Linked DNA regions of Drosophila melanogaster. The gene in region 2 interacts genetically with the main gene of each other region. Each region holds a gene or a part of one and is shown on either strand. Other genes may lie near its edges.

Region 1 (5,645 bases), on a different chromosome or scaffold from region 2:
TGCGTATTGTTGGCCGATCGCTTGTTTGCGATCGCCGTAGTTAAAATGATTCGGATTCGTGGACGCATCGCCCTCTGCCGTCTGACCCCGTGCAATCGAGTTGAACTTAGCAATTATCGCAGCCCACATCGATCATATCGCTGATATCCTTTGTGTCATTCTGCCGAACTGCGGTGCTGCCAAACTGTGTCTCCGTCTCCACCCATATTTCGGTGTTTATCTTTAAATTTAGCACTGTGACGATAATACAAAGCAACACAAATTACTTCTGTTGCGCTCTCACTCAGCGATTTAAATCGGGCAGACTGGGGGTTAAAAATACAAGCAGATGGAATTACCATCACCCGAGTACGTCAGTGAAAATTTTGCACCTTTTTGCATCATTTACAGTTACACTTACAGCAGCGAATGCGAATGTGGCGTATTTGTATTTACCATACGGAGGAAGCTGCGCGCCATTCATGAAAGCGCCGCTAAGGTCAACAAACAGATTTACATGCACACACGAATATGTGCAGCGTATTCGTACACAATATCCGAATACATATACAAATCCCCCCCTCAGTGTTTTAGTCGTTTCGTTTGTCACAGGTTTATTTTGCTTTTCGTGTGGCAACGCACCTGGAAAGGCGGCAGCGAAACGACTGGTATTGGGGTTACGAGGTGGAGCGCGGAAGCAGGGGAACGAGGCCTTCAATTAATTAACTCAAAAGTCGGCAAGATACTTATTGAATTATCGAATGAGCTGCTTGCCCCTACCCTAACCGCCCACTCGCAAGCAGTGTGTGAAGTAGTAGTACAGTCTATTCAAAACATAATATTTTTTGAACAGTTCAAACTGTTAAAATAAGCATATAAACGATATGTCAAGTTGGAGAACTGGACGGGGAAAAGTACTAGTTGGGGAGAGTCTGGGATAGAATTGTAAAATTTCCATGGAGTTACAACCCCAGAACAAAGCCCTCCCCCCCATAATTGGGCCTTTCCACTGAGAGCATCTTGTAGTCGGCCGACGTTATGAATTTGCACAAATTAAACGCTTTTATTTGATCAGTAGCCACAGCTCACGGTTGTGCAACGGACAAATAAACGGAAATATGCAAAACAGAAGGCAGCGCTCGAAATCCATTACGGGAAATGTAATTTCATAAATCGTTAATCAGCCTTATGGCGAGAAGAAAAACCATCGGAAGGTTAATAGTTCTACAAGGCGGAGGGCAGAGGACGGCGGTGCCCCATTGTTGACCTAGTGAGTGTGACAAGTGAAATCCGGAAATCACGCAGCTTAAGCTGTCAAAGCTATTGGCACATCATCTTCAGATCATTTGGCATGATGTGCGTTTTAGGATAACGACGAAAAGATCGCCCTAAAGCAGGATACCTATAAAAGCTGAGCATAAATTAGAAAAACAAAGATCAAGTTAACGAGCCAATCAACACGTTCAGCGATTATGAATCCGTTGCGATAAAAATCAAAATAAATAAATAAGCAACAACCGAAACCGACTGCACTACCAATCCGAGCTCAACTAAAAGTCAAAGATAATTTATGGGACATAATAATAGTCCAGCAGATACATATGCGATTGTTTTCTGGGTGTACTGTGCGAATCGAGATCGCCAAGATGGGGCCAGCCCACACAAACAATCGGACGGCACATGGCACAGCCGGGCAGATAAACACCAAGATCAGACACGGAGTGGGATGGAATCTTTGGGGAATGTGGACGACGGACAGCGCAACAGCGGGACATGGGTAAACATTCCGGGCGCGAGTGAAGAGATAATTCCGATCTGGCAGTGGGCCAAGATACGATGTCTGCAGTGGGCAATTCGCCGAACTCTCCCGGTTCTACAAGTGCGTAATTTAGCCAGTGCCTAACCAATAACTCAATCTTCAGCTCTAAATGAAAGAACCAATATCGAAACACAACTTGACAACGGGCCAATTGTGTGGGGGGGGTTGATATGTTGATATGTGACCATATTTGAGTGGCGATCTGAGCTGGGCCCCCTGCCATTTGCCATTCCACTCCCTTCACTTCACTTCGGCATTTGACAGTCGGAAATTCATTCATATTAGAACGTCAATTTACGATTGCTTGTTTTCGAGTCGAATGCTTTGCGTAAATATTTACTCATTTTGCGTGGCAATTCTGAACACATGACAGTATGTGCTGCGCTGATTTTTTTTTTTTTTTGCTTTGTTGCGGCGTCAACTGCCTGTGATTGCCTGCCTTATTAGGGTTAATGTTGATGGGCAGCAGATTGTCTCCAGATTTCCCGCGAATCATCTGCTACTCCGCGACATGTGACTGACAGGCGGGGCGACATACTACGATGCGATGGTAGCTCAAAATACCATTTCACCTGCTACGGGGTATCGTTTAGTTGGCAGCCTGACAACTTCATTACTCGCACTCCAATAACAATTAGTGCCTAATTTCGCACGCGCCCCAAATTAGCAGAACGCTGCTCTTTTTCTAACACTCTGGACTGGACTGCTGTCGTTTTTTTTGGGCGACCTGAACTTACGTGTAACCATGGAGCTGGACGCGCATGGTGGCCAAGAGGGACAGTGTGCTGTTGGAGCAGCTGGCGCCGCCGAAGGCGGCTGGGAACTGGGGCGGTGTGGCTGTCCAGGAGGTGGGCGTGGCCGGGTAGGAAGCCTGCGGGCTGGGTGTAAGACGGTGCAGAGATTCCGTCGATGTGGAGGCGGAGGCAGCGGCGGAGGGTTGGGCGGAGAGAGGACGACGTCTGCGCTGCAGTCGGTTGTCTCGATTACGTTGCGCGTCAGCGCCCTTGGCCACGCCCTTTATGATCTGGGCCAGCTCGTCGTGGGTCATACAGTTCTTGCAGGCCGGCTCCTGGGCCTCGGGTGTCTCCGTTGGTGGGGTGACCTTTGCTTTCCGACCCTTGCTGGCCTTGAACTTGCCGCTCCTTTCGCGCTCCTCCGAGCGTCTTCCCTTGCTTCCGTAGTGCGCCTGTATGGCTCTTTCGTACTCAAAGTTTCGCTGATTGTTGTAGGCATTGTTGTTGTTTAGCGTATTGTTATTGTTATTGTTGATATTGTTGTTGTTGTAGACTTGTTTCTCTTGCAGCTTGTGATTGACCACATTGCCCAGCGAGCTGGACAACTTTTCCAGACATTTGTTGAACAGCATTTTCTTCACACTCGTTTTCTCGCACACACCAAAACAAAAAGAAGCTTAGATAGTAGTATTCCACTGCGGAAAAATGCGTCTCGGCTGGGGTGTTTTTTTATTATTTTTTTTTTATTTTGTTATTGTTTTTGTTTTATGTAACAACTTGCCCACACACACGAACACACACTGAAAGCACAAAAACTAGAATTCTTGGTTTTTGTTTTTTGCCGCTGTTTGTTGTGCTTCTCTGTTTGCTTTTTATTGATCTTAGTCAGCTCGATTAGGGGAAATGTCTACAGTTTGTCAAATAGAGTGCTGTTTACCCCGCATTCGTTTATTATTGCACAATCTTCTTGAGAGCCAGCAACAGCTTCTTTTCGTACGACTTGACATTGATGGCCTTGGCCACGGTGGTGCTGCTGCTGTTGATGGTGCTGGTGGGTTTGACCTCTGCTGGGGATGCGGCCTGCTCGTCGAGTCGCGATTGTGCCGCCATCAAATGCTCCAGGACAAATGTGGCTGAAGGCATAATTTTCGCGCTTTGCCTTCGAATAACAAAAACACTCGATGGAACTTGTACTGGCGCCCAGTAGAAATGAAACGAACTGCTTGCCGCTCGACGACGAACGGCGACTGCTTGCGAGCTGAGCTGCTAACCCGTTGGATCACAACTCGAGAATGAAGCGCCTGCTGCCGAGTCTGAAGCTTTTTGCCTCGGATTCGAAATCGCAATCGGAATCGAAATCGGATTCTTGACGTTGTCTCAGCGCGGCTCCTCTCTTTGCGATTCGATTCTTCCGCTCTCTCTTAGTGGCTATATCTCTCGGACGGGAGCTGTGGCCTGGTGGTGTTCTAAGCGCTGGGGTATGAATGAATCTGAATCTTGACTGGCTGCGGACGGCGCTTTTTGTTTTTAAATCCAGCCGGCGCTCTGGTTAGCCCTTCCTGTCGATCTCGTGGGTGGGTGTTTTTATTTATGGGCTTTATTTACTGTCAGCGAGCCAGAAGTCACAAACAAATACAAAAAAAAACACAGTAAATAAAACGGAGCGAAAGACGTAACTTTGAAATTGATTGGCAGTGGGTGTGTGCACAGCTTTCCCCTGGGCTCCTGTTTCAGTATCATCAAACTGCTTGGGCCCCTCAGCGGGCGCCACTTAATTGTAGCCATCCTGTGGACGCCACTTACGGTTTATTCAGAAAGCGAAAGCACTTTGAATTGCAATCAACATTGTAAAAAATTACACTTTTACTTTTCATTTACTTTCAATTAAGTGCTAGAGCCAGGCTAATACCTATAAATATGTATAGCGGGCTCCACTCTATGTTTATTTCGTAATGACTGTACTCCTGGATGAGTCATGGAGTTCATCGCAATCAGAATCCGAATCATACACATTTCGAAAAGCAGGCACATAAGATTAATTCCAATCCGAAAATGGTCATTTCGTGATATGAGTGTGTTGTTGGCTTGTAAGAAAGCAAATACAAAAAGCGCTTTTAGCGCCGTCCGTTGCCTGCCACCGGAAATGAAACTGAAGCCGCACAGCAACTACTGTGGCGGCCATCTAGGCAAGGAACTGGGTTTGCTGGGGGGCAGGTGGGTTGGTGGGCAGGTGGGCAGGTTGGTAGTTGGGTAAGTGGGAGCTAGAAGCGAGCAGTGCCAAAGCTCTCTTACAGCGCAGGCGCAGACGTCAGAGGTGCGAACGTGCGCAGAATATCTTTTTTTTTTTTTTGGCCAGCAAAACAAAATCGTTCGACGTGCGACAGCCTGCGAACTGCGATCTAGCAACACTTTACTTCCAGCCTCGTATTCATGCCTCCCAACGATGACGAACTATTTTTTTTTTTTCCAACATTTCGTCATTGTTTTTTCGCTGGAAACCAACTAGAACTTGTTACCCAAACCACATTCAAAATCCACTCAATGGAAATTGTCTCCGAAGTGTTCGATCAAAATTGAAAATGCTCAGCTCAAACCAGTCGGGGAAACCCCATGTAGCTATGCATGCATGCATCAATGCAAACAGGATGTTCCAGGCCAGGTGGACCAGATCCGTGGAAACCACATGGGGCTTCTGGGCGCAGTTAGGTGTCGGTTAAGAATATTAGTCATTGCAATGGCAAATGCAAGACGAGAAGTGCATTAAAAGTGAGTAGAGATGATTTGAGCTACCTGATTGCTATCGATACAGAATTAAGAGCGAGGCCAACATTGGCCATTCGCAAGTTTAAGTTCTTAGAAATGATCGGGTAACGCAATTTAGAAGTGGCATTGACCAATAGCCTACCCAACGTGTTTACATTACGTATGGAATTACTAAAAGTTCCGGCGAAGTAGTGAGTGCCGTGAGTGCCGCCCTACCCAGAAATAAACTTGATCGGTACCAGTTGCCAGAGCGACAGCCCAGTCCCAGTATCCCCAGTGCTCCATTCCTGAGCTCCGCGACCTTGGCTATCCCGATTTCGTTGCTGGAGACCCAGACCGCATTTGGGCAC
Region 2 (7,721 bases):
AATCGATGGCCTGCTCTTCTCCACCTTCTGCCTCTTAGTCGTTTCCGTCGGAGGCGTCAAGGTCGAGTTTGCCCGCTTCGAAGCAGAGTTGGGCCTTTGCTCTAGCGGCTGCGGTGTCTTGGCCAAAAACAAAGCTTCCGCAGGTGACTTGCCCTGCTGAAGGTAACTTAGATACCACTTCGTTCTGGCCCTGCACAGCGCCTTACGGTTAGGGCCATCCCGGGCCAGCTCCAGCCAAACTACGATTAGCCAGCACTCTTAGCAGAGACATGACCTAACTAAGAGCCTGTTTAGAGTCGCCCTCGCCTGGAGAATGTAGTTGCACTTCCAGCAGTGTATCACAATTACGGCGCGTACCACCAGGTGGTTGATACCCTTGTGATACCTACTGGCATGGCATTCTAGAATCATATGGTTTGTAATGTAATTTTTTTCTTGCCTGGCAAGAAGAAGATAGCGATGTCGAAGGTATGGTCACACATAAGCGAATTAAAATTGGGCAATCGACTATTTGGAATTATTTTGATAAATCGGCTGATGGCAGTGGACTTTTTTCAAAAGTGTAGGCATGGCAGCTTTGTGCGGCGTTTGAGCGGTCGTGGCAACATGGGTCAACAAACTTGCGCTGCGTCTATTGGCATAAGTATAACTCTATGTCTCTCGAATCTGAACCTTCTAGCTTTAATAGTTCCCTTATATGGTCGGAAACGCTTCCTTCTGCCCGATACATACTTTTTAACGAGCCTAGTATACTAATACTAATATATATATAAGAAGCTAACTGACTATTGTGCGCTTGGGATATCACTTTTGATACTAATTCAGTGAGTATACATAGTTTTAATGCATACTTATCATTATTGGTTTTTATTCGCATTAACGTTTGCTAATAAATCCTAGTAATCCAGGCACATACATTTTTCAGAGTTCAAGTAAGCGAAAAAAACCTTCCAGACTTACAGCTGCTTTTTCATCTTCGTTTAACGCGATAAAGAATCCGGAACAGCGTTTAAAGTACCCTTACGATGTCCAATTTTAAAACGATATTTTTGAAATGTCAACGACCATCGAGCAAATCGTGAGCAACATCGGCGAGACATGATCAGTTAAAATCTCTGAAATTTCGCATAGCTGCTATCGCCACCAAACATTTCTGCTCAGTCACAGAACACACTAGTCGGCACTACACACACTGTTGGCAGTAAAATTTTAAAATGACTTAATATGATAATAATGATTATTTTTTATTTGTTGGGTGTAAGTAATATAAACATAAAAATTAACAAACGATATAGACAAGTTAATGTAATATGATTATTTTTTGTATTGGCATAAGTATTTTGACAAGCCTTTAATACCTAAATAAATAAGTTTAAGTGAAGCTGCAGCTTTTTTTAACGAGTTATTCTCGAAAGAACTTACATCTGTCCATAAAACACTTTTCCAGAACGAAATTAGTGAACCGGGGTTAGAGTTTTCTTAAAAGTTTGCATCTCTATATTCCAAAGCGTTTGAAACTAACAAACACAAACTGTAATTTACAAAGTTAAGTTAAGAAATTCGACAGGGACAGATGATCAACCGAAGTTGGACGCTTACTGTGTTCCTCCATATAATTTTACCTCACCATTACTTAATTTAAGAATGTCTTCATTTTTGAAAATAATTGTGTCCAAGGGTAAACCAAAGTTCTTAAGCATTGTTTTCCCTGACAATTAAAATTGAACAAAAGAAAAATGATAAAGGAAATTAAAGTTGAAATTTTTAAAGTAAAGATATATTTGAATTTATTTATGAGTCTTAATAAGTTCTTTCTGTGCTCTCTAAGTCCATTCACGTTGGACCCACTTCTTCTTTAATAGATAATACAAATGAATTATATCAAAATCACTGGTTCCTGCGCAACTTATTGCGCCAACAACGGCAACGACTGACGTCTGGACTGCGGCAGCGCCGACCAAACACAAGTTTTGCAGTCTGACGGCTGTTAAACAAAATCCCAAAACTCCATACACAAACTAAACTAAACTATATACTAAAACTAGACATCAACTGAGTTGGGCATTTTAAACAATGTGCTAGCTTTGCAGTCGCTCTTTGCGGTGCTACACTTGTACCCGCTCCGTCATGCGAGTTAAACTGAAATGTATTCTAAGAATGAAATAAATTGTTAATAAGGAAAAGGTCATGTTATAAAATAAACCTACATTAATTAAAAAAATTAAACCTACACTTATACCTAAAACCATGGTATTTCATTAATTCATAAAATAAATAGCTGTCATAGACATATTTTTCACGATTTCTGTAAACTTATATACTTGGCGTACGTAGCATTTACTTCGGATATCACCTTAAGAGTAACAAATATATTTAAGTACATTCGGATTTTTTAATGTAAAAATATAAAGTTTTTGACATCTGATAGTATTTTGTTTAAAAAGAATGTTCGATCATCAATCATCCTCCGTTGCAACACTGCTGAATTTTCTGTAGTGGGCAAACTACATTTAGTTAGCTGTACATTTGTATATGCTTCTGAGTAGTGAGCTGTTAAGAAATTTTATTATAATATAATAAAAAAGCAATTAAAGGATTTGTTTTCTCTTAATTAAACATTTAATTTCTGCTTTCGTGTTAATATGTATATTCTACATTGGTTTGTAGTCACGTCTTAATGGTGGGAACAGTACTTTTAGTTCCGTTTACGCTGAATTTACATCTGTTAGGTCACACAGCAGAAGATGGCACATGCCTGCTTTCTTGTTTTATTTTAATGGGCAATAATAGCTTAAATTAGGAATATAACACTAAGTCAAAAGGTTTTTATTTCTGCGCTCCCATTGAAAAATGTCCAAAAATATATTTAACCCAACATCAGGTTAATATGTGATGATCAATTTCCTCCTTTAATACCAATTTTTAAATAAAAAAATGTCTTACGCAATGACTGATCATTTTTAAATTATTATATTATTTAATATTAATTGTGGAAATTGTGGCTGCCAAAAGACTGATGTACCTTTTGGGATCCGATTATAATTGGATCGGATAAACATTGACCAGTGTCGTTATCTTAACATATTATTAATGTTTTACGCCGTCGATTTTGATAAATCATATTTACGCATTTGTCTAAAGAGTAAAAAAAAGTTGAGTTTATATATTCATATCTTAAGTTATAGACTTTTGGTTAAATTCATAATAAAGTAAATAAAGATTTTGCACTTATTGCTGTTCACTTAAATAAGATAAAGTGGGACATATTCAGTTGTAAAAGTGTTATTACAATCCACGCATACATACATTGCGAATTTTGCAGATACGGTGTATTTTGTATCATAACATCTTTAGTAGTATTTCAAGTTTTCCAGAAGAAACGTTAGTCATGGAGGAATTTAATTCGAGCGGATCAGTAGTTAATGGTACAGGATCTACGGAAGTTCCTCAATCTAATGCTGAAGTTATAAGGGGACAAATATTTGAAGTTGGTCCTAGGTATATTAAACTCGCCTATATAGGTGAAGGAGCTTATGGCATGGTTGTGTAAGTACCTAATACCTATTTTTATTTTTGAAGCCGTTTTTAATCTACAGTGTTTGCACACCTCTTTCTTGTTGTTCCTTTGTCCATTATTCATAGTTTTTTTTTTATCTTGCGGTTCTCCTTCCGAAATGCAGTAATACTCAGAACCGTGTTCTCTTGATTTTATATCAAGTAATACATTTTGTTCAAGTCCTTTGCTGTAAGTTCGCATACATGGTATTGCTGAATCAATGTTATTTTTCGAAAATGCATTAAATTTATTCACATCAATCATACGCAGTACTAAGCTGTGAAACACTTAACAACGAAATAGTTTCTCAAATTTTTGATTTCTTTCTTTTTCTCTAAACGTGGCTTAGTTTTGCTTTTTCTTTGACAAAATCAATCTTTAAGGGTCGACACAACCGAGTTTGTTTTCATGCAAAAGCCTAAATTGGCCGATGGACTTTATAAATAAAGGAAAGTCAATAGCTTCTGAGTCATATTGCTTGCTTTTAAACGCTGCGCACAAAACTTTCGTTTACCGGTCGATCGGTTGTTCAACGCAATACAATTTCTCGCTAAACTTGGATTTGCTTGTTAAAGTACTCTTTTACTCGGTGCCTTTATACCTTTTTCTAATGCTTTTGGACATAATTAGGGATTATTCATTCATTCATTAAAAGTAAATTTGGAACCTACATTTTCAAAAATAAAAAATCAACACATTTTTTAAAAGTTGCAGTTGCAGTTTTGGGCGGAGAGTGGGCATGGCAACATTTCATTTTTCAGTATTTAAAAATAAAAAATATTTAGTTGAATTATTTTGTTATATTCTTATAAAATATTTAAAAAGCGGACATTTTGTTTTTTTTTTTAGTTTCTTTTAATTTTAAATTATAGTTTTATGTTTTTTGATTAGGTTGGAGTTTTGAGGTGGGTAGCAAATGGGGTTGATTGACTGAAGAGAGCATATTTTGGGGAGGGGTCAGTTCATGTAGTGGGCATTGGTAAGGTTGGTGTGTCCAAGCCTGAGCCTTTTTATTAGGATTTGTGTTTTCTTATTGTGTTATGTAGTGTTGTAGCTTGAAGGATGAGCTCATACCAGGGAAAATTGAGAAAAGTCGTCACAGTTGTAATTTGAGGAGTGTACAAGGGCGTATCTGTGGGCATCTTTAGCTGTTTTGTCGGCGTATTCGTTGGCGGATATGCCGATGTGAGTGGGCATCCATATAAGTTAAATAATTGGGAAGTGGTTGGTGAGAGGGTTTCTTATTGTGGATAGATATTATGAGATGTTGATTGGTATTGGTATTGGTGAGGAAATTTAGGGCGGACAGGAATTCGAAGCCCGGCGGCTAAATTTAATTTTGCTGGCGTTGCTTGTTACGCTATAGCTTATTATTTAATTGGATATCGAGCCATATGTGTGGCTGCATAGTTGCAAACCAATGTATGGCCGTTACGCATCTTGTTATTCTAGTGTCTTTGATATAACATTGGTTGCTGATTTTAGTGTTCTTCTGGACCTTAAACTAAAGTTTTTCAGATCATATTTCGACTATTGTCAATAAGGCAGGGGTGTGCTTGGTTTAATAAAAAGGAGGTCAAAGGAATTAAATGATCATTACAGCACCAAAACCTTATTCATTTCGCTAGTCCGTTCGATTCTTGAGTATACGTACCTCAATCGGATCGCATTGAATCGGTCCAAAAAAGTTCTTCTTTTAAGTTTATAGCTATTTGGCTGTACAAAGGAATACTTAAATATATTCCTTATTTGTCGCTGTTCTGCTATAAAAAATCGGAATTCACCACCATATCCTATTATTTGTTCTAATTTATTTTAACAGAATGTGCATAAATCCTTAATGACGAACATTTCTTGGACCTAATCCATCTTGGGACTGTTGGAGAACATCTATGGAGTCTGCCTTAGTTATTAGGTCTTCCATAGCGATATCATTCCTAATTATTTTACATGCGTATTTTACTAGATTCGTTGAAATGTATGTGACAGGCAGAAGAAAGCGTTTCCGACCACATAAAGTATATATATTCTTTATCAGGATTAATATCACACCAATTGTTTTCTTTGCAATTTTTTTTGCCTTTCTTTTCTTTCTTATCTTTGTTTTCCACACCAGAGTTATTTGTAATTTCTTTAACTACATAGCACAAAAGTTATTACTCTTTGCATGCCACTTAAATTATGAGTGATTTTGTAAATAATTCCTACTAAGCCCTAAAAATTGTCCCAGGGTCCTGTTTAACGAAATTCATTTCTGCGACGACGTTGTATTATTATAAATGTTTATTTTAAAATAATATTTCGCGAAATATGTGAGTGTAATATTAAACTTAAATGAGTTTACAAAAGTTTGTGGTGGTTCCCTGTGTTGATCTCAACACCGACTGGACACATTAATTGTATTGATCTCCATGCTCTCTTTTTTCACGCTCTCTTGTGGCGTTATTAATAACATGGTTTACTATACATTCATTTACTATATTCATTAAGCGTTTCAAATCATAATGTATTTCTAATGAACCCGCTGCTTCTTTTTTTTTCTTGTCCACTTTCTTATAGCAATCCAAGGCTTTCGCCTGTTGAAAATTTGTTCCAATGCTTATTAGTTCATATATGCTAAAAATCAAACTACTAAATCATATAGCAGAACATAAAGTTATTATATTATAGATGTTTTTATTCAAATAGTGTTCTAATTCGGTAAGCTACAGCATTTTGATAATATTTAACTTTATTTTTGCTTCGATAAAAATTGGACGGTAACATAGCTCAAAGAAGCTGGGGTCGGAAAAATCGAATTTTTAAAATTTGAAAGCTGGAATCGTTTGCCCATTTTTGCCCATGTTTGCCCACCAATTAGTTTTTTTGCCCACGTCCAGTTTTTGAGATATAAATTTTCGAAAAAGTTCGAAAATGTTCGAAAATCAAAAATTTCGTTTTTTTCAAATTTTTTTTTTAAATCGCAATAACATCGTTTGACCACGTTTGCCCACCCTTTAGAATTTTGAAAAAATGTATACTTTAGAAAATATAAGGCTTTTAAGTTTACCTCGGTCTAATCAGAGAGTAAATCGTTTGCCCATCTCTTAAAACCAAATATTATCAACAAAAAACGTTTGCCCAACCATTATTATTAGTTTTTATCGTTTGCCCACCCTTTAAAAAACCTTTAACAAAAATTTTTTTCGATTGCCCACATTTAAAATACACCCAATTTCGTTAGCCCACCTCTTTAAAATAAAAATTTCCAATAAAAAACGTTTGCCCACCATTTAAAAATAAATAATTTCGATTGCCCACCTTTTAAAACTAAATAATTTCGTTTGCCCATCCTTTGAAATTCATTTTTAACGTTTGCCCACCCTTTAAAAATAAATTATTTCGTTTGCCCACCCTTTAAAATTTGTTTTTTTCGTTTGCCCACTCTTAAAACTAAATAATTTCGATTGCCCACCTTTTAAAACTAAATAATTTCGTTTGCCCATCCTTTAAAATTCATTTTTAACGTTTGCCCACCCTTTAAAAATAAATTATTTCGTTTGCCCACCCTTTAAAATTTGTTTTTTTCGTTTGCCAATCGAAATTGGGCAATCGAAAAAAAATTTTTTGTTAAAGGTTTTTTAAAGGGTGGGCAAACGATAAAAACTAATAATAATGGTTGGGCAAACGTTTTTTGTTGATAATATTTGGTTTTAAGAGATGGGCAAACGATTTACTCTCTGATTAGACAGAGGTAAACTTAAAAGCCTTATATTTTCTAAAGTATAAATTTTTTCAAAATTCTAAAGGGTGGGCAAACGATGTTATTGCGATTTAAAAAAAAAAATTTGAAAAAAGCGAAATTTTTGATTTTCGAAAATTTTCGAACTTTTTCGAAAATTCATATCCCAAAAACTGGACGTGGGCAAAAAAAACTAATTGGTGGGCAAACATGGGCAAACGATTCCAGCTTTCAAATTTCAAAAATTCGATTTTTCCGACCCCAGCTTCTTTGCGCTCGGTAACATCCATACAGCCGCAGTAATTTAAAAAAAATCATAGTTTTGTTGTTTTTGATCATAAAAGGTTCTTATTCTATTGTTGCGCAGAAATGTTCGAATACCGAATCGTGTATTACATTTTTGTCTTGAAATATTTTAAAATAGCGAAAAAACTTGTAAAAAAA

What was found.
Region 1: of rl (region 2) and csw, changing one suppresses a phenotype caused by changing the other (phenotypic suppression), as found in Drosophila melanogaster (3 studies listed by BioGRID).

What each region holds. Positions count from the first base shown.
Region 1 is NC_004354.4:2,100,666-2,106,310, reverse strand, and holds the start of csw (corkscrew), read right to left. Parts: upstream 4,023-5,645; 5' UTR 3,165-4,022; coding exon 2,536-3,164; intron 1-2,535. UniProt on the Drosophila melanogaster protein: Required in all receptor tyrosine kinase signaling pathways. Functions downstream of the receptor tyrosine kinase torso, acting in concert with D-Raf via tailless.
Region 2 is NT_033778.4:1,068,894-1,076,614, forward strand, and holds the start of rl (rolled), read left to right. Parts: upstream 1-3,081; 5' UTR 3,082-3,152; exon of another isoform or gene 3,153-3,357; 5' UTR 3,358-3,388; coding exon 3,389-3,546; intron 3,547-5,378; exon of another isoform or gene 5,379-5,448; coding exon of another isoform or gene 5,449-5,471; intron 5,472-7,721. UniProt on the Drosophila melanogaster protein: Serine/threonine kinase which acts as an essential component of the MAP kinase signal transduction pathway to regulate proliferation, differentiation and effect cell fate decisions in various tissues.